Stegostoma tigrinum: one gene and its partner. The main gene of each other region encodes a partner of the protein of the gene in region 2 in a complex. Links are inferred from orthologs where the notes say so. Each region holds a gene or a part of one and is shown on either strand. Other genes may lie near its edges. The genes, in order: disabled homolog 2-interacting protein-like and map3k5.

Region 1 (8,666 bases), on a different chromosome or scaffold from region 2:
TTCATCATCAGAAGAACTGGTGGTGTTCATCATGCAGCTGCCTCTTCCCCTTTTGCAGTGGAACGGGAAGGGTCTGACATGTTTTCCTTTCGCAGTTGTTTCTTACTGGCATCAATTACACTATCTCCTTAGTTTGCTCCTCCATCAGTTCAGGTGGAGGTTTGGTCAGTTTTTATGCCTCCACACAGGCTCTTTTCCTCCTGTCTGGCCTGTCCCTCCTTCTGGGTATCTTTTTCAGGTTTCTTACTGATGGATGGCACCTTACTGCCTTTTGGGTGTCTACGGCTTCCATTGCCAATTCTGGCAATCTGAGCATATGTGGTGCATCCTCCATCTTGGGGAGGCCTTATACAGCTGACTCACTTCCCTAGACAGGTTGCAACGCTTGGGCCCTTTGCAGTCAAGTGGCTCTCCAGTTTGCAATTCCTGGAGAGGGCCATTTATCAGCAGAGTGCAATACACCCTCATCTCCCATCAGTTCGGCACTCACTTGGACTGGCCCACATATCAGGTAGCCTCAAATCCCTCCGATCACAAAGCTGGAGGATGTGCCAATAGCGTCCACCTTCAGAGTCACCATTAACCGCTCTTTGCTGGTCCAGATTCCAAAGGGGTCCACTATACATTGGTGCTGCCTCCTTGAAGCTTAGATACCTACCCAGGAAGGTTAGGACATTTGCTGCCAGGGCATAGGGGTTATACCTGCTACTCTGTGCAGTGAGTGCAAACAATGGTGCCACAGACAGGGCAGAGAGGCAATCCTCACCACCTTTCTCCTCAAATACCGTCAGCAGACATTCATATTGCTTCACAGGTCTGAATGTTATGTCAAATTGGCCACTGCTAGGGAACTCCTGCAGACAGAAAATATCTGCTGCTTGGAAAGCACAGCAATCCAGGAGGACTCTCTTCCCAAAGAAGGTCCGGTCAACGAGAAATCCTTCCTCCACCTTCTTCATAGTCACCCTGACTGTATTTCAGACCGCCTGGCCTGGGACATGGGCACTAGCAGAGGCCATAGCTCTGGTCGGCTGGTCACTGAATTGGCATTAAGCTGAAGCCAGCATAAAGATTTGCCAAGTGGCAGCTCAGCTCAACCAACAATCTGAGTTCTGGTGGCAATCCAAATCCAGGTTCTTGGCACATATGCATTCCAAAATAGTCTTGCCTATCATCTGTCACTCCTGCCATGCCTCATCTTGAGACAGTCCAGCCATCCATCACTTCAGATGAATGCCTTAATGCCTTGCCTCCATCAGGGTTTGGGCCCGAAATGGGAATATTTTCCACTGAGGCAGTCAAAGAACATGCGCCAACTTGGATCAATATCATAGGCAGAAGTTCCCATCCTCTTCCTTACTAGACAAGATGGTCACTGGGACTGTTCCAAGATGTTCACCATAAGCTTCACAGTGGTTGAGAAACTGAATCTTGGAATCTCCTAGACTTCAGTTCAGTTCCCTAAAGAAAAAAAAATTTATATACAGAACATCAATCATGCACATACACCTTTTCCCAATGCAACATCAGTTGCCAAATATCAACGTCTATTCCTCCAAAACATCATCATGACCTGCTTGCAGTTGTTTATTGTTTTCTTCAATCGTAAGACTTCCATAGGTCTATGCATCACGCACAAGATAATTCCCTCTATTTGAAGGGTGCTAAGTTACTGAAAAGTAAAGACCCCAATGCAGTTTTCTTTGCAACATCACTGGAAACTGGTCTCCAGCTAGATCCATAGTAACTGACAATAACTATCCCAAAAAAATTAAGCTAAAAATCTACATCTCCCGTCGTAGCTTCTCATTAATTTCATAAGCTTTGATAATGGAAGTAAGTTTAATAGGAGATACTGTATGAAAAGTGTTTTGAAATTCCAAGCTGACAACAACTACTGGGATACCCTCATCAACTAAACTAGTAATGCGAACAAATTAGCAAAAGTCATCTTTCTTTTCCAAAGGCGAAGATGTCTCAGCTGATTCCATCTCAATCAAGGGATAATATAATGCATCACTTACAATCCCTTTGAGCCTCTTCTTATTCATAAAACAGGATTAAGGTTGTTAAACTGAGCGACAGCTGTAGTTCATCTGAGTCACAACTTTCCATCGAGTCCCACTCCAGAGCTTGAATAAAGTGTCTTACTAACACTTCAGTTTAGTGCAGAAGAACAGGTGCAATGTCTGCAGCGCCATGTTCAAATGAGACATTCAATTAAGACTCCATCTGCCTGTTTGTTAATGTAGAATATCTCATGGCACTATTCACAGAAGAGCAGTTATTCTACCTAATAATTACCTGTTATTCAGCATCATGAGTGAAATTACCATAAGACATACCTTCATATTTAAGCACTTCCTGCATACAAATTGGCTGTTGTTTCCCACATTACTTATAAATGGTATTTCGGTATTACACTTAAGGTATTTCAGTGCCTGTAAAAGCTTTTTGGCAGTTCTGAGGAGCACTATTAAAAAAAGCAAGTTATTTTACACTAACCCTGACTCTCCATCATACATCCTATGCTAACAAATGAATAATATCAATTTATGCAAGGTACTACAAGTGTGACAGACACCACAGAAGTGTACTGTAGCAAGGCCCTTTAGGGCCAAAAAGAGAATATTTACAAACAGTAAAACTCAAAATTGGACAATATTCATAACTGATTAAGAATATGGTACACTGCAAGACAGAACTGCATATTTACAAAACAAGCAATACATACAGCAAGAACTTTACCAAGCCTCTATTTTATACTACTAAGCTATCATGCAGTCCGCTGGTAGCTAATTTTAGTACTTTGTTCAGTTGACCAAGATTCTTAATGCTTTTACAGAAACTGATGTGTTGATGATTGGCAAACATGAAATGTGCTAGCTAAAGCTGAAAATTAAAATGTTATTCAAACACCTAAATGCATGATAACATGTTCCTTGGCAGCAAGTACATCATGTGTTAAAATGATTTTGCACAATATCCAAAACAGGACAAGGAAACAGTATACTGCTAAACACTACTGCTTACACCTGATCACTGTCTCATGTACAAGTGTTTTTCATAACATAGCCTACACGTACCATAATCAGTCTATACATGTCCTTCAAAGTCAATGCATACCTTCAGTGGCCAACATGCAAGCTTAACACGACACCCACAACTCAACTGCACCACCTACGCATGCTCTGCACATTTTCCACATCTTGAAAAGCTGCCCGAAACCTGCACTTCTCTTCCAATAGGTTTATCTAACCAGTACATGCAAAGATTAGCGCACATTCTTCAGCCAGTTTGAATAATGGCACGTCCCGTGATGGGCGTGCTGTGCCCGCGCTTTGACTCGTGTCAAATTCGAGATGTTCTACTCAATTTTTTTTCGCCTCAATGCACCCCATTCTGTTTAGGTCCACAACATTTCAGCTGACAATTTATAGTCTACCACCAAGTTGGCACTTGCATCTGCGATAGCGGCATGCACACACCCTCATTCACATTTGGTGTTCGCACTTTTCCCACCACACGTGTATCCATCCTACACCCAACAAGAACACGCTCCGGGGAGGGAGGTAAATCGCTCATGCCCTGGGAACTGTTCCAGGGACTAAAGCAAGGTCACAGCTTGACTAAATAACAAAATAAAATCATGTTTTAATATTAAAAAAACAAAAATAGCGTTCCCATACGCTTCTACACCTTGCCGATTTCCGAAGATAGAGAAATTAATCGCCAAACCAACATGCTGAGACTAGACAACTTCACGTTCGTCATGTTTTATCATATTTTGAGTGGAGGGTGGGAAAGTCCAGGCGACAGATTGCACCTGTCGTCCACACATCTGCAGGGGCAGAAACTTTGCGCTTTGGAGAATTCCCACGGCGGTACATTCATAATAATCCTCCCCAGCACAATCCTCATTATTCTCCGCCAAGACTCACCGTAAACTCGGAGCCAACCCTGGTACAAACTAGCAGCAAAGTAAAGGAGCGAGTCCCCCTCGATGATCGCCTCCATGGAACCAAAGTCAGTGCCGAATGGCCGCCTCACATCACCATGACTTCGACTAACGGTCGTCTCTCGTTCCACACCCAAACACCAACAGAAAAGGTTCGACGTCCTACTTCAATTCCTTTTTGTCTTCTTCTCGTCCAACCAGTCAGGCGAATAATGACAACTTTTAAATAATTTCCCCACAATCTTCGGTCAAAGTCAGCGCCTTTTATTCATTCCGAATTAAACCACCTGCCTCCGTGCCTCTGGAGGCGGGAGCATCTCCGCCTCCCGCCTCCTTCTCTCAATCTGACTGAAGGTTGCGAGGCGATTGACGAGTGGATAACCCATTCACAAGCAGGGAGTAATTTGATAGGCGGTCTGGCAGCCCAATCATATACCGTAATCTCTCTGATTGATAAACATATTAACCATTCACAAATGCGTTTTTAGGTTGAGTTTCAAGCCGGACAACCAATCAGCTGTTTCGGGGGTGTATCCGCTATGTCAAGAGGCGAGAAGACTTTTGCAACTTTGACAATACAGCAATGTGTGTGTGGATTCATTTGACATTGCTGCAGGTTAAATGTCATTTTAATATCTCTCAGGAAACGACTGCAGGCTGCAGCCAGGCGTGATTCTGAAGCACAAACAAAATGCTAAAACTGTTGGAAATATGAAGGAAGAAACGAATTGCTATGATTTTATTGTTTCATAGGATGGGGACTTCAATGGCTGGGCTAGCATTTTGTCAATCCCTAATTGCCTTGCAGAAGGTGATGGTGAACTAGCCTCCTTAAACTGCTGCAGCCCTTGGGATAGTGAGACACCACGGTTCTATTAGAAAGAGATTTTGACCCATCAACGGTGGGAAACGGTAATATACGTCCAAATCATGATGGTGAGTAGCTTAGTGTAATCTTGCAGACAATAGTGTTCCCAAACATATGCTGTTCTTTTCTTTCGAGGTAATGGAGGTTGCAGGTTTGAAAGCTACTGTCAAAGGAAAGTTGATGAAATACTGTAGTGCATCTTGTAGATTGCAAAAAAAAACTGCTGCCCCTATGTGCGCCTGATGGAAGTACTTTATGTCGAAGGTATTTGATGTGTTGCCAATCAAGCAGGCCACTTTGTCCTGAGTGATGTCAAGGTTCTTGAGAGTTGTTGAAATTGCAAACACCCAAGCAAATGGACAGTATTGCCTGACTTGTGATCGGTTGGAGATGGGCAGGCATTTGGGAGAGGGTGAGTTATTCCCTGCAAAATTCCCAGCCTCTGACTGGCTCTTGTAGCCACAGTATTAATATAATTGACCCTGTTCAGTTTCTGCTCAATGAGAACCACGAGAAATTTAATTTAAAAATTAATAATACCATTCAGCAATGGTAATGCCAATGAACATCAAGGGATTGTTGTTAGATTCTCTTTTGTAGAGATTAACATTGCCTGGTGCATATGTGGTGCAAATGTACATCTTTTGTTATACTAGGTGCAATTCCAAAAAATGGGAAGCTTCTCCTTGGTGCACATTGATTTTTTTTTTGCTAGGACTCCTTGATGCCAAACTCAATCAAATGCTTCCCTGATGTGAAAAGCAGTTACTCTCACCTCACCGCTGGCATTTAACTCTTTCCACCTTTGGACGTAGGCTGTACTGAAGTCAGGAGAGTAAATGGCAGAACCCTTAGAAGCATTGATATACAGAGGAGTCTTGGGGTCCAGGTACATAGCTCCCAGGTCAGCACGGAAGGTGGACTGAAGGGCCTGTTCCTGTACTATACAATTCTTTGTACAAGTAGCTAAACCCAAACTGAGTATCAGTGAGCAGGCTAACTCCTCTGCAAGTGGCACTGGGTAATGGCCCCTTCCATCATTTCGATGATGATGGAGCGGAGATTGACAAGGTGCTAATTGGTTGAGGAAGGGTCACTGGACCCGAAACGTTAACTCTGTTTTGTCCTCCACAGATGCTGTTAGAACTGCTGAGCTTTTCCAGCAACTTTGTTTTTGTTGCTAATTGGTTGAGTTGGATTTGCCCTTTTTGTGTACAGGCCATGTATGGGAAATTTTACACATTGTTTGTTGGATGTCAGTGTTGTAGGTTAAATTGGAACAGCCAAGTCTTCATATTATTATCAATATTCATCTGATCAGGCAATTTCTACACAGAAACAGTCAATGAATAGGTTTTAAGTCAGTGTAAGTGAGTTATGATGGGGACCAATGTAGCACAGCAGGCAAGACTGGAGAATAGCTTTGCAAACTGATGTCAATCATGAAATGCGATGTCAATGTATTTTTATCACAACACAAAGTGTGTCAAATTGAGCCCACGGTTTGTAATTCAGCAGCTGAGAATATATACTCAAGGACTTGAGAAAATCAGGTATTCTTCCATCGCTTAGGATTATTCCAATAGTATATTCACTTAGATCACATCTAATCTGTAACTTCTTTTGAATTACTCATCTTAGTTTCATATCCCTATTTAAAATACATCACAGGTTTAAAATTATCAATGAACAAGTTGTAGGAAGAGGCTTTCCAAAAACACATACTACATGTCAATTTGAGTAAAATGTATAGAATCAAAAGTGATGTCAATCTAATAACTAGTATGCTTCACAAGCCCAAGCCTCATACTGATTTTACAGCTAATTTTAATATTATGATTGATTGAATGGCTTATTTATTGTCACATGTACCAAAACACAGTGAATAGCTTTCTTTACAAGCAATACAGAAGGATCATAGTAAGCAAAGGATGTACAGATCAAAAAGACTTCGACAGAAGTTACATTGCACAGGCCATGTGCTCGGCGAGATCAACATTGGCACGTTTTGAGGCCAGAGAGTCTATTCATCAGTCTAATAAGAGCTAGCAAGAAACTGTTCCTGAACCTGATTGTGCATGCATTCAGGCTTCTGTATCTTCTGCCTGATGAAAGAGGTTGTTGGAGATCATTACTGGGGTGTGGTGGGTCTTTGATGATGTTGGCAGCCTCTCCGGAGCAGCAAGTTGCATAATTGAAGTCCACGCATGGAAAGAGATAACAAGGTGTAGGGCTGGATGAACACAGCAGGCCAAGTAGCATCAGAGGAGCAGGAAGGCTGACGTTTCAGGCCTAGACTCTTCTTCAGAAAATGACCCTTCTGAAGAAGGGTCTAGGCCCGAAACATCAGCCTTCCTGCTCCTCTGATGCTGCTTGGCCTGCTGTGTTCATCCAGCACCTTGTTATCTCAGATTCTCCAGCATCTGCAGTTTCTACTATCTCTCCACACATGGAAAGTTGGCTTCAATGATGGTCTGGGCTGTGCACACTATCATCTGTAGCTTCTTATGATCCTGGGCAGAATAGTCACCATATCAGGCTATTATGCACCTGGACAGTATGCTTTCAATGGTACATCTGTAGAATTTGGTGAGGGACCTTGTGGATATGCCAAATTTCCTGAGCTGCCTGAAGAAGAGGCATTGCTGTGCCTTCTTGAATGTTACATTTATGTAGCGATTCCAGGACAGGTTGTTGGTTATCATTACTCTGAGGAATTGATGCTGTTCATCCTCTCAACCTCAGTTCTGCTGATATAGAGGGGCTGTGTTCTCTCTTTCTGAAGTCAATGATCAGTGCTTTAGTTTTGCTGATGTTGAGAAAGATTGTTTTCACTGCACCACATCACTATCTCCTTCTGTTGTTAGACTTGTCGTTGTTAGATATCCGTCCCACTACAGTGGTGTCATCAGCGAACTTGTAAATGGCGTTTATTTGGAATTTGGCAACACTGTCATAGATGTAAAGGGAGTACAGAAGAGGGCTAAGGACACATCCTTGGGGTGGGTCCAATAATGAATGTTATTGCTGAGGAGGTCCAGTTACCTGTCATCACTGATTGTAGCCTATGGGTCAGAAAACTGAAAATCCAGTTGCAGAGGGCAGAGCAGAGTCCAAGATCACAGAGTTTTGAGATCAGTTTGGAGGGAATAATGGTGTTGAAGGCAGAGCTGTAGACAATGAGCAAGAGTCTGACGTACGTGTCTTTGCTGTGTCGACATTCCAGGGATGAGTGCAGAGCTAGGAATATGGCATCTTCTGTGGACCTGTTATGTCGGTAGGCAAACAGTAGGGGATCGAGGCAGGTTGGGAGACTGAGGTTGATGTGGGCCATGACCAGCCTCTCAAAGCATTTAATGATTATTGAGGTCAGAGCCACTGGGCAGTAGTCATTAAGGCATGTTGCATGTGCTTCCTTAGTTATGGAGCTGATGGTGGCTTCCTTAAAGCAGGTGGAGACTTTAGCTTGGAGAAGGGAGTGGTTAAAGATGTCAGTGAATGCCTCCGTCAGTTACTCTACATAAGATCGGAGTGCTCAGCCAGAGACACAGTCCAGGCTCAACACTCTCCTTGGGTTGACTCCTAGGAAGAACGATCTGACATCTGAACTGGTAACAGAGGGAACAGGTATGTTTGGGGCTATTACAGTTGGCGTGACCGCAGTGCTTGAATTCTGCTTGAACCGAGCATAGAAAGCATTGAGCACGTTAGGAAGGGATGTGTCTTTGTCCACTATCTAGCACTGCTTCATTTTAAACATTCTGTGTCAGTGCATTCTGCATGTACACTAACTATGAAATATAATTTTATATTTTTAATATGTTAAAATGAATGGAGATT
Region 2 (9,551 bases):
AGTAACACTTGGTCACACTGGACCTCAATTTTCAAACATACTCCAATATAGCTGTAGGTCTCATTCACAAGTTTTACTTTTTTTTCAATTCTTGATCGTTTTCCTCTCTGCCCTCCCAAATGCCGACACCTAGACCCCTTTTTTTCTCTGCTTCCTACTCAGAATCAGCAGCAGGAATCTAAGAGGATCCGCTGCTGAAAGTGGAATTTACAGGCTGTAGATTTCACAGGCTGCTTGTATAGTCATTCTGGGGGGAAGCTGTAGGAGTTGGCAACATACATGCTTATTGCCTGAAAACAAAAACATGCCGGAAATCACAGTGGGTCAGTCTGTATCCATGAAGAGAGAGAGAGAGAGAGAGAGAGCAAGTTTCAAGTCTTGATGACTCTTCATTAGAGCTGGTAAGCCAAACTTACTGCTTGGCTGCATTTATTCATGGAGCACTGGGCAGCCCAGTCATCATAAATCTATGCAAATTGTTTTCCTATGATGGGCATATATCTTTTTTAAAATCATTTGTAGGATGTGACTCTTGTGCGCAGAGCCGAAATTTATTACTCTTATCTAATTGCCTTTTAGAAAGTGATGGTAAGCTGCCATTGTGAACTGCTGCAGTCCATTTGTTATAGGTAGGCCCACACTGCCACTGATGTAGGACTACTGGAAAGAAGATACTGCGGACAGTTGCTTAGTAAAATCTGCTGGTAAAATACAAAAATTCTGAAACGGAGAAGCAGGACTGCAGGTTGCAAAACAATAATGTGGGCCTTGCAGCCCTGAATAGTTTCACTGCCCCTTCACAACTTACTGGTAACATGAGAATCCTACACTTTCCTCCATTCAACTGACCAACAGAAAGAACTTACATTTATGAAGCACACGTTGTGCCCTCATGAGATCCCAAAGCGCATGTCAGTAAATAAAGTTTGTTTTTGAAGTGCACATAATATTGTAATGTAATAAATGCAGCAACCAATGTGTACCCAGCAAACTTACTCAAAAACCCAGTGAGATAATGGCTACACAGATAATCACAGGTTGGTTGAGAGATACATATTGGCCACAAAACTAGGGCAAACACCCACACTCTTTGAAATAATGCCATGTGAACTTCTGCTTGCGAGGATAGATGGGACCTTGATTTGAAGTTATCGGCAAAATATGGCGTATCCAAAAGTGCAACACAATCAGTACCTACATTTTATGCTTATGACCTAGAGTGGTACGTGGCCATATCTCAACCTTACAGTTCTAGAGAAGAGTTATATTGCACTCGCAATGTTTACTCTGATTCTCACCAGCGAAGCTACCATTCCTGCTGGGATTTTTCAGCATTTTCTGTGTTTGTTTTAAACCTACCAGCACTGTCTCAGGAGAAAATACTGTCAACTGGACCAGAGCTGACTTAAAACAGCGAAAACTGACCCCACCCCCTTAAAACTAAGCAATACTTCTGTTACCAGCTCATAATAAAGTTTTACACATAATGTTTGAATCAACTATGTCTCAAGTCAACAAATTTTGAAATTGTAGTAATCTGGACTCTGCTGGATCCTTATTAAGAAAAGTATTTAATTACATTTTCAATTAGTTGAATGTTTTTGCAGAATAACAACATATCCACCCTGTTTCTTTGGTGCTCAAAATGAATGCTGTGTCTTTTTATAGGTGATTAAAAGCTCAAGCTGCCTGAATATAGTTAGTATTGCAGGTGGTTTGGATAACCAGCCAAAAACAGCCAAATGTTCAGCCAATGTAAACAATCTCAAGAGCTTGCTGTGAATTAAACGTGGAAGTATTGGCTGAATCTGTGGCACTGTTAGTACTGGTAATGTGTTGCAAAAAAAATTGAAAAGAAATCAAAGACCTATTACATAATTATATAGAACGGCAATTTATGGAATTCACTGAGATGATCGAGGCATTTTTGATCAACAGAGTTTTTGCATAATCATAAATATTGTAACAAGAGATTTCTATACTTAATGATTTTTTTCTGATACAATACCATGAATAGAGAATGACATAATGGTTCAATATTTTGATTCATCGTGAGACCAGTTGAGGAAGTGTTTTACGTTAAATGTTGATTCTCAAACTACAGTACTGTAATATTACCAGAAATAGTTTATGAAAACAAAACTGAATAGCTGGAAACTTGAGGAATGGGGTTCAACTCCTACTCTCTCAATTTTGGCAGTTCTCAGTGATAAATCTGGGTGGAGCATTAGTTGTTATTTCCTGGACGCAATGAGTTAGAGTATTTGATGAAAAGGAGTTGTGTCTGACACTGTATAATTAGCAAGGCCTTAATTTAGCTTGCTGTCAGTTTAAATGCAAAGAAAACCTCTAACCACGCACACAACTAACCGGCTGTATTAGATTCTTCCTGTTCAGTTTCAATACAAACAATTCCTCAGAACTGGAATATTACCCTTTATATTGTCATCTTCTTCCCAGTATAGCAACGCACAAACTGTTTATGGAAATCTCCTCTTCCAGTTTTATGGCAAGTCTGCCTTTTCCTGGTATTACTTTTGTTAAGTCAAATTCATATAGTTTGTAAAATTACATGACCAGTATTTCCACTTGAAAATTACAGTATTTACAATAAAATTCATCTTGTCTTCACACAGCATACTGAAATGCTTCAACATGATTTTAATATTCTTAATAATCACAATATACATTCACTGCACAACTAGTCTGAGTGTATCTACAGTTTTCAGCCCTGGTGTATGATAGCTGAAAGGCTACAAAAGCCATGCACACGTCATCTACAGTTGTTTGTTTAAAGTTCAGCATTTGGCTGAAAATGTCTGTGGTTAGAAAATATTATATATTGCATATTAAATTTGGAATGGGATATAGGATTCCGTCAGGAGCACAAAAGCTGACGTTTCGGGCCTAGACCCACCAATTCCATTTTGATTTAGCCACTTTCTGCTTCCCCCACCCTTCCCTCATACTTGATGCTTTGCATTACCCATAATGGTCTTTGCATGTAAATAATTAATTGGCTGCATTGAGAATAGTTAGTCAAAGGAAAATATATCATGGTGATTGATTTAATTTATTGTCTCATGTAGCTAAGTACAGTGAAAAGCTTTGTTTATGAGCTGTACAGGCAGATCATATTCAGCAAGGACACATAGATCATTGGGTGAAAAAAAAGTTAGACAGAGGTATATGTTATGAAGTTGCATAGAGTTCATGAATTAGAAGGATTGTAAGAAAGCTGATATGTCATCCAAGATATGTAAGCAGAGGGTTTTTGAAAATCAGGGTGAGAGCAAACTGCCATCTGAGACATAAGCATCTAGCTCTCTCAAGAAATCAATAAGCTGTCTAAGAAAGCACCATGTATCCATAAGAGGTACCATGACACTGTTAGTTAAGAGTCCTCACAGAAGAATTCATAGAGAAAACATCCCTAACAGCAAGATTAGTAGAATAAACGTGTTTATGATTGGAACGATAGCGGAGAAGGTAGAGCATTCCCAAACTTTGAGAGACAAAGTTTTAATTTTTTTTCTTATTACACGGGTTATATAAGGGGGACTTGTGTTTAGTGGAACAGCATACCAGTAGAATTTTGTTCAGTTAGGAAATGGTTAGGAGTTGGGGGAATTATTCAGTTTGTTAGTAATTCTGTTAATGCATTCACTGTTAGCATTAAATAAATAAATTGTTACTTGTTACTTATAAAGTAAATATCAGGGATTTTCTTTCATTTAACCGCACTTTTTCACAGATTAGGCGAGGTGAGGCAAGCTTCTTTGGATGATTTGGGTTTAATTATTGGAAGAGGACCTCTACTCCTGCTTCTAAGTTTTAGAGCAGATTTGTAGGTTGTGTTGTGAATGTTATTGTTAGTTGGCTCCTGCTGTAACAGACTGGGAGCTTGTGTTTCAACTTTAATTATCAGAGAGGTTCGACCTCCTCTCCATACCACTTGCAAGTTACATCGCGCAGGGTGTGCACTAGGCAAGATCGGCATTAGCAAGATCGGCATATTTTGAAGTTAGAGAATCCATTCATCAATCTAGTAATGGCAAAGAAAAGCAATTCTTGAAGCTGTTGGTACATGTGTTCAGGCTTCTCTATGTTCTGCTTGACTGAAGTGGTTATGGGAGAGCATTGCTGGATGTAATGGGTCTTTAATCATGTTGGCAGCCTTTCCACAGCAACAGGCCATGTAAATGGAGTCCACGGATGGGAGGTTAGTTTCCATGATGGTCTGGACTGTGCCCACACCTTCTGCAGCTTCTGATGGTTCTGGGCAGAGCAGTTGCCATACACCTGGACTTTCAATGGTGCATCTGTAAAGGTTGGCGAGAGATCTTGTGGGCATGCCAAATTTCCTGAGCTGTCTGAGGAAACAGAGATGTTGTGTGTCTTCTTGACAGTCACATCTATGTCGAAAGTCCAGGACAGGTTGTCAGTTATCGTCCCTCTGAGGAACTTGATGCTCTCCAGCCTCTCAACCTCAGCACCACTGATGTTTGGGGGTGTGTTCTCCCCTCTTTCTGAAATCAATGATCAATTCATTAGTTTTGCTGACATTGAGCGATGTTGTTCTTGTTGCACCACATCACCAAGCTCTCTATCTCCTTTCTGTATTCTGACTCATCGCTGGCTGATATCTGTCCTACCACAGTGGTGCCATCAGCAAACTTATGGATGGCGTTCATTCAGAATTTGGCATCCACGGATGTACAGGGAGTACAGTAGGGGGTTGAGAACGCATCCTGGGGGGGGGAGAGGGGGGGCTCCAGTGTTGAGTGTTATCATGGAGGAGGTGCAGTTGTCAATCTTCACTGATTGTGGTCTGTGGGTCAGAAGCATGAGGATCCAGTTGCAGAGGTGGTGGTGAGAAAGCCATTCGGTTTTATGTAAGAGTACTAAAGGATATAAAGTCCGGTTCTCAATAGACTTGCCAGCTTTGGCTGGAAATATTCCAGATGTCATCACGTGACCTTCTATCGTAAAGTGCCCTTCCGCCAGACTGAACATACCAATTATCAGCGAGCCCTACATTTTCAATGCGTCCTGGTTGTTAATTTTGACAGTCTGGCCACCCCACCCTTGACTAAACATCCTGTCAACCCATTGTGTCTAAACTTATCTGAGAAGAACGGGCACACTTCCTCAAGGCGTGGGCTCCAGAAATAGATTCCAGCAGGAATATAAATATACCTGCGGGAGGTCAAGAGGCGACGGAAGGAAATGGGAGGTTGGAGGGGTGGGGGGGAACGAGGTTGTCCCAGTTTGGGTGCAAGGGACCCGATGATTGCCTTGACGGGGCTCTTTAGGAATCCAGGTCAAGCAAAGAAAGATTGGCGCTCTGATAAATAGTGCCAACATTGACGCAGTGCATGAGTTACAGTTCACTATCAAAGGCGTGTTTGCCATCAACATGGCACACACAGTGTAGCCCATATTTGTAACTCTGTAAGATAACCAAAGATGCAGTGAGGAAATACATTTGAAACATGACGTGCATGTTTAAAAATCCCACCCAGAGCTCGTTCAGTGGTGGGGTACTCGCATAAACTCTATTGCTATACTGTACTCCACGCCTCCTCCTGGCGTGTTGCACTGGGCCTTCGGATTGGATGTCCTCTTTTGGTAATCGGACAGCCCCTAAAAATCTAGACTTGGGACTGACTGGTTAGTGTAACCAGAGCAGCATACACACAGGCAGGGGCGATCGGACTAATTCCTGCAAGTATTAATATCGCTGCGTGGAATCACGAGCTTTTTGCAGTGTGCTTCTTTTCAAGTTCATGTAATTCCTTCGTATTCCCATGTCTGTGAGAGCAGGTTGGTTCGCTACGCTCTAGCGAGAGGCGCAGCGGCGACATAGTGTCGCTGAAACAGCAGCAGCAGCGGCGGTTCCGCTTCGCTCTAACCGATATGAGCCTGGACCAGGAGGCGGCAGCAGGCGCGGCCCTTGAGGGAGACGGCGGGGGCCTCGCTGTCCCGGTGCCGCTCCTGTGCCCGGGGCAGGGCAGTGCCAGCGCCAGCAGCAGTGTCCCGGCTGGCACCTACTGGCAGGACCACACGGCAGCCGCTTCGGTACCGTCCTCAGTGCCGGCTGCTCGGCTCAAGAACCGGCCGACTACCGTGGTGTACGTGGTGAACGAGGCGGCTCAGCTGCAGCTCGCCGAGAGCCTGGCTCTGCAGTGTTTGAGGGAGGCGTGCGAGAGTGTCAGCGCCTCCCTGGATACTGTGCCTTTCGAGAAGCTGGACTTCGGAGAGACCGCCGTCCTGGATTATTTCTACAATGCAGGTAAGCTGAGAGAGGGAGAGCTCTGAGCCCTGCTGCTTCTGCACAAATGTCCTCTTTTCTGTTTTAAGGAAATTGAAGACCTCGAGTCCTAACATTGCCGTAGGTGACCTTTACAGTCTGGAATGATGCACCTTTTTGAATGCTTGGATCCAGCTTCATCCGGTGGCTCACTGTAAACTGGAGGGTGAAACTTGAGCCACAACTTTGAAAGAGACAAGGTTGGTGTTGGCACTGTGAATCCAGCCTGTGTCGCTCTGCAGTACCCAAAGTGCCGCTGTCTTTGCACAGATATTGCTTGAGTGGTGTTCGATCTGTTAGAGACTGGTGAGCAATTGTCTGTTTAAATTTGTTGCCATTTGTTCTGTGCATAGACCGAAGCGTTCAGAATAATGTGTAACAAATAAAGCAGGTTCGAAGCGATGTGTTGCAGTACTTCTCAGAAAGACCGTATTAATGGCGACTTATGTTTCTCGTGGAGATTGAAACCATGACCTAACAGTGTTGGCACAGTATTCTGACACGAGTAATTTGTATGGTGCTACTGTATGGACTCCACTGCAAAATCACTTTTGCCTGGACCAGTATTCCATTTATTTTTTAAAAAGCTAAATTTTGAGTTAAATGTAACGTTGATCTGCGTTCTGCCAAACTATTGATGTTAAGGAGAACACTACTTGTAATAAAATTTGACAAGGTTCAGTTGTGTTCATCTGATACTGATCTTCACCACAGGTGAGTAATAATCAATAAATGTTTAGACTGTTCTGCTTGGTGCTTTTCCTGATTATCTGGTCAGAGGAACATTGCATCTGCCTTATTGAAGGAAGAAAGCACTGGGAAAGTTAAGACCTGGTTGGACCAAGAATTATTCAAGAGGATTTATTAGAACGGGTGACACTAAGTAAAAACTGACATCACCAGCAGATGTTGGGATGTAGCCAAGGATACTGAAGGAAGCAGTGGTGGAAAGTGCAGTTTGTTTTCAGTTTGTTCTTGAGATGTGGGAGTCTTTGGCTTGGGCAGCATTTATTGCCGATCTCTCTACCAAGATAGCCGTTGACTACCTTCCAGGTCAGGAGTCACATGTTAGGCCAGAAGAGGCAAGAATGACAGATTCCCTTCCCCAAAAGGATTTAATGAACTCGATTTTTTTTTGTTTTGACATCTGATTACATGGTTACCTTACACTGAAGTTTATAATTCCAGATTGCATTTTAATTAAAGTTTCACCATCTGCCATGGTGGAGTTCAAACGGATGTCCCCAGAACTTTAGTCCAGGGTTCTGGATTACAAGTTCAGTCACATTACTTCCAATCCTACTTAGATACAGGGATGGTGTCAAGAGACTGGAGAAATGTAAGTGTTACGTCTTCGTTCAGAGGGTCTAAGGATAAATTTTAATGGGTAACACATTTCACGTGGGTTGCTGATGTAAAATGCACAAACTTCCAAAAGGCATTTGGTAAAGTGCCACATAGCCTTGCTGGAAACATTGAAGGTTCTTTTATCAGCCTGATCCCTGTGCAGACGTTGTTTTCTGAGAAGAGATTGGATTGACTGGGCCTGTATTCACTGGCATTAAGAAGAATGAAAGAAGACATCATTGAAACTTATAAAACGCAGACAGGGCTGGACAGAGTGGATGCAGAGATAGTGTTTCTGATGATGAGAGGGTCCAGAGCAAGGGGTCACAGTCTCAGATTACGCACAGGCCATTTCAAACTGAAATGAGGAGAAATTTCTTTACTCCGTGTAGTGAACCAATAGACTTCTGTACCACAGCAGGCAGTGGAGGTAGAGTTGCTGAGTATATTTGAGAAATAAATAGATTTTTAGAAGATAAAGGCATGGAGAGGTGTGCAGGCTGTGGTAGTTGAGAAACTGTCAAAATTATCCACATGGAATAGTGGAATGGGTTTGACAGGCCAAATGGCCTATTCTTGCCATCAGTTTTTGTGTTTCTATAGAACAAAATGGACAGTGACTTGATATGAAGTCGACTGACTGGAAATAGAAATGAGTGACAAATGATTTTCAGACTGCACAATTTCAGAAATTGCTGGTGATTTAAAATCTTTCTAGGTATTGTGGATGGTGAGAAGACTTTAAATAGAAGAAAGAGGTTTTAAAAGAACAAAGGCTAATGGAATAGGTGGACTCCTAGCAGATCAAATTTATTATAGAGATGTGTGGAAAGAGACATTTGTGTAGGATAAGCAAGGAGAGGCAAAGCAAAATAAATGACACACAATTCTAAAGTGGTTGCAGGAGCAGCGAGGCCTGGAATATAAGAGCCTGAGTCATTGAAAGTGGAAGTTTGAAATAATGATTTAAAAGGTCTACAGAATCCCGAGCTTTAAAAACATGCAGACAATGTAAAGAGCAAGGAAGTTTTGATGAATCTTTTACAAAATACTGTTTTTTGTCTTTGCTGGAGTTCTGGACATACCACACCATATGCCGAGAGCATCGCTTTAGGAAAGATACAAATACATTAGAGATTGGCTTTTGGGATGAGGTGTTTCGTAAAGGAGGATGGATTTGGGAAGTTTAAGTTTTCCCTGGAGAAGCAAAGGTGGAAAGGAGATTTAATAGAAGTGCTCAAAACCGTGAGGGTTTGCAACAGAAAGAAGTTGCAATTGGTGGAAAGGTCAGGCAGTGAGAACATGCTGCTATAAAGGGAAGCTATATAAACTCATGTTGTCTGCTTTTGGAACAGACAAGGTTGAGCGTGACCTGATAGAGATGTACAAGCCTATGATGGGCAAAGATAGAAATTAGCTGTTCCTATTAGCTGAAGGGTGAGTAACAACGGGACATAATTTAAAAGTGAAAGGCAGGAAGTTAGAAGGAATTTGAGGAAAAGTCTCACCCAGTGAATAGTGGGATTCTGGGATGCACTGCCTTTGGGAGAGTAATTGAGTTGAGTTACCTCACAACCTTTCAAAAAAAAGTTCTTGAATGAACTCTCGGAGTGTCATAATATTCAAGGCCAAGAGTCTAGTATGGAGAAAATAGCATGAGTGTAGGTTGGAGTGTATTTTTAGCAGTACAGACTCAATGGGCCAAAGGTACCTTTCTGTGTGATTTTGTAATGATAAAGTCATAAGATGTCAGAGCAGAAGTAGGCATTCAGCCCATCGAGGCTTCTTTGCCATTCAATGTGATCACGTGATCCAATGATCCATAAGATTATAAGAAAAAAGAACAGGAGTAAGATATTCAGCTCCTCAAGCATGCTCTGCCATTCAATAG

The links.
Region 1: map3k5 (region 2) and disabled homolog 2-interacting protein-like share a complex: the UniProt entries of both Homo sapiens proteins name them as parts of the cytoplasmic complex. The link is inferred for Stegostoma tigrinum from reciprocal best matches to the Homo sapiens genes MAP3K5 and DAB2IP.

Annotation. Positions count from the first base shown.
Region 1 is NC_081382.1:31,305,321-31,313,986, forward strand, and holds the start of disabled homolog 2-interacting protein-like, read right to left. Parts: upstream 4,255-8,666; 5' UTR 4,018-4,254; coding exon 3,942-4,017; intron 1-3,941. UniProt on the Homo sapiens protein: Functions as a scaffold protein implicated in the regulation of a large spectrum of both general and specialized signaling pathways.
Region 2 is NC_081357.1:44,908,594-44,918,144, reverse strand, and holds the start of map3k5 (mitogen-activated protein kinase kinase kinase 5), read left to right. Parts: upstream 1-5,676; 5' UTR 5,677-5,919; coding exon 5,920-6,295; intron 6,296-6,322; exon of another isoform or gene 6,323-6,513; intron 6,514-9,551. UniProt on the Homo sapiens protein: Serine/threonine kinase which acts as an essential component of the MAP kinase signal transduction pathway. Plays an important role in the cascades of cellular responses evoked by changes in the environment.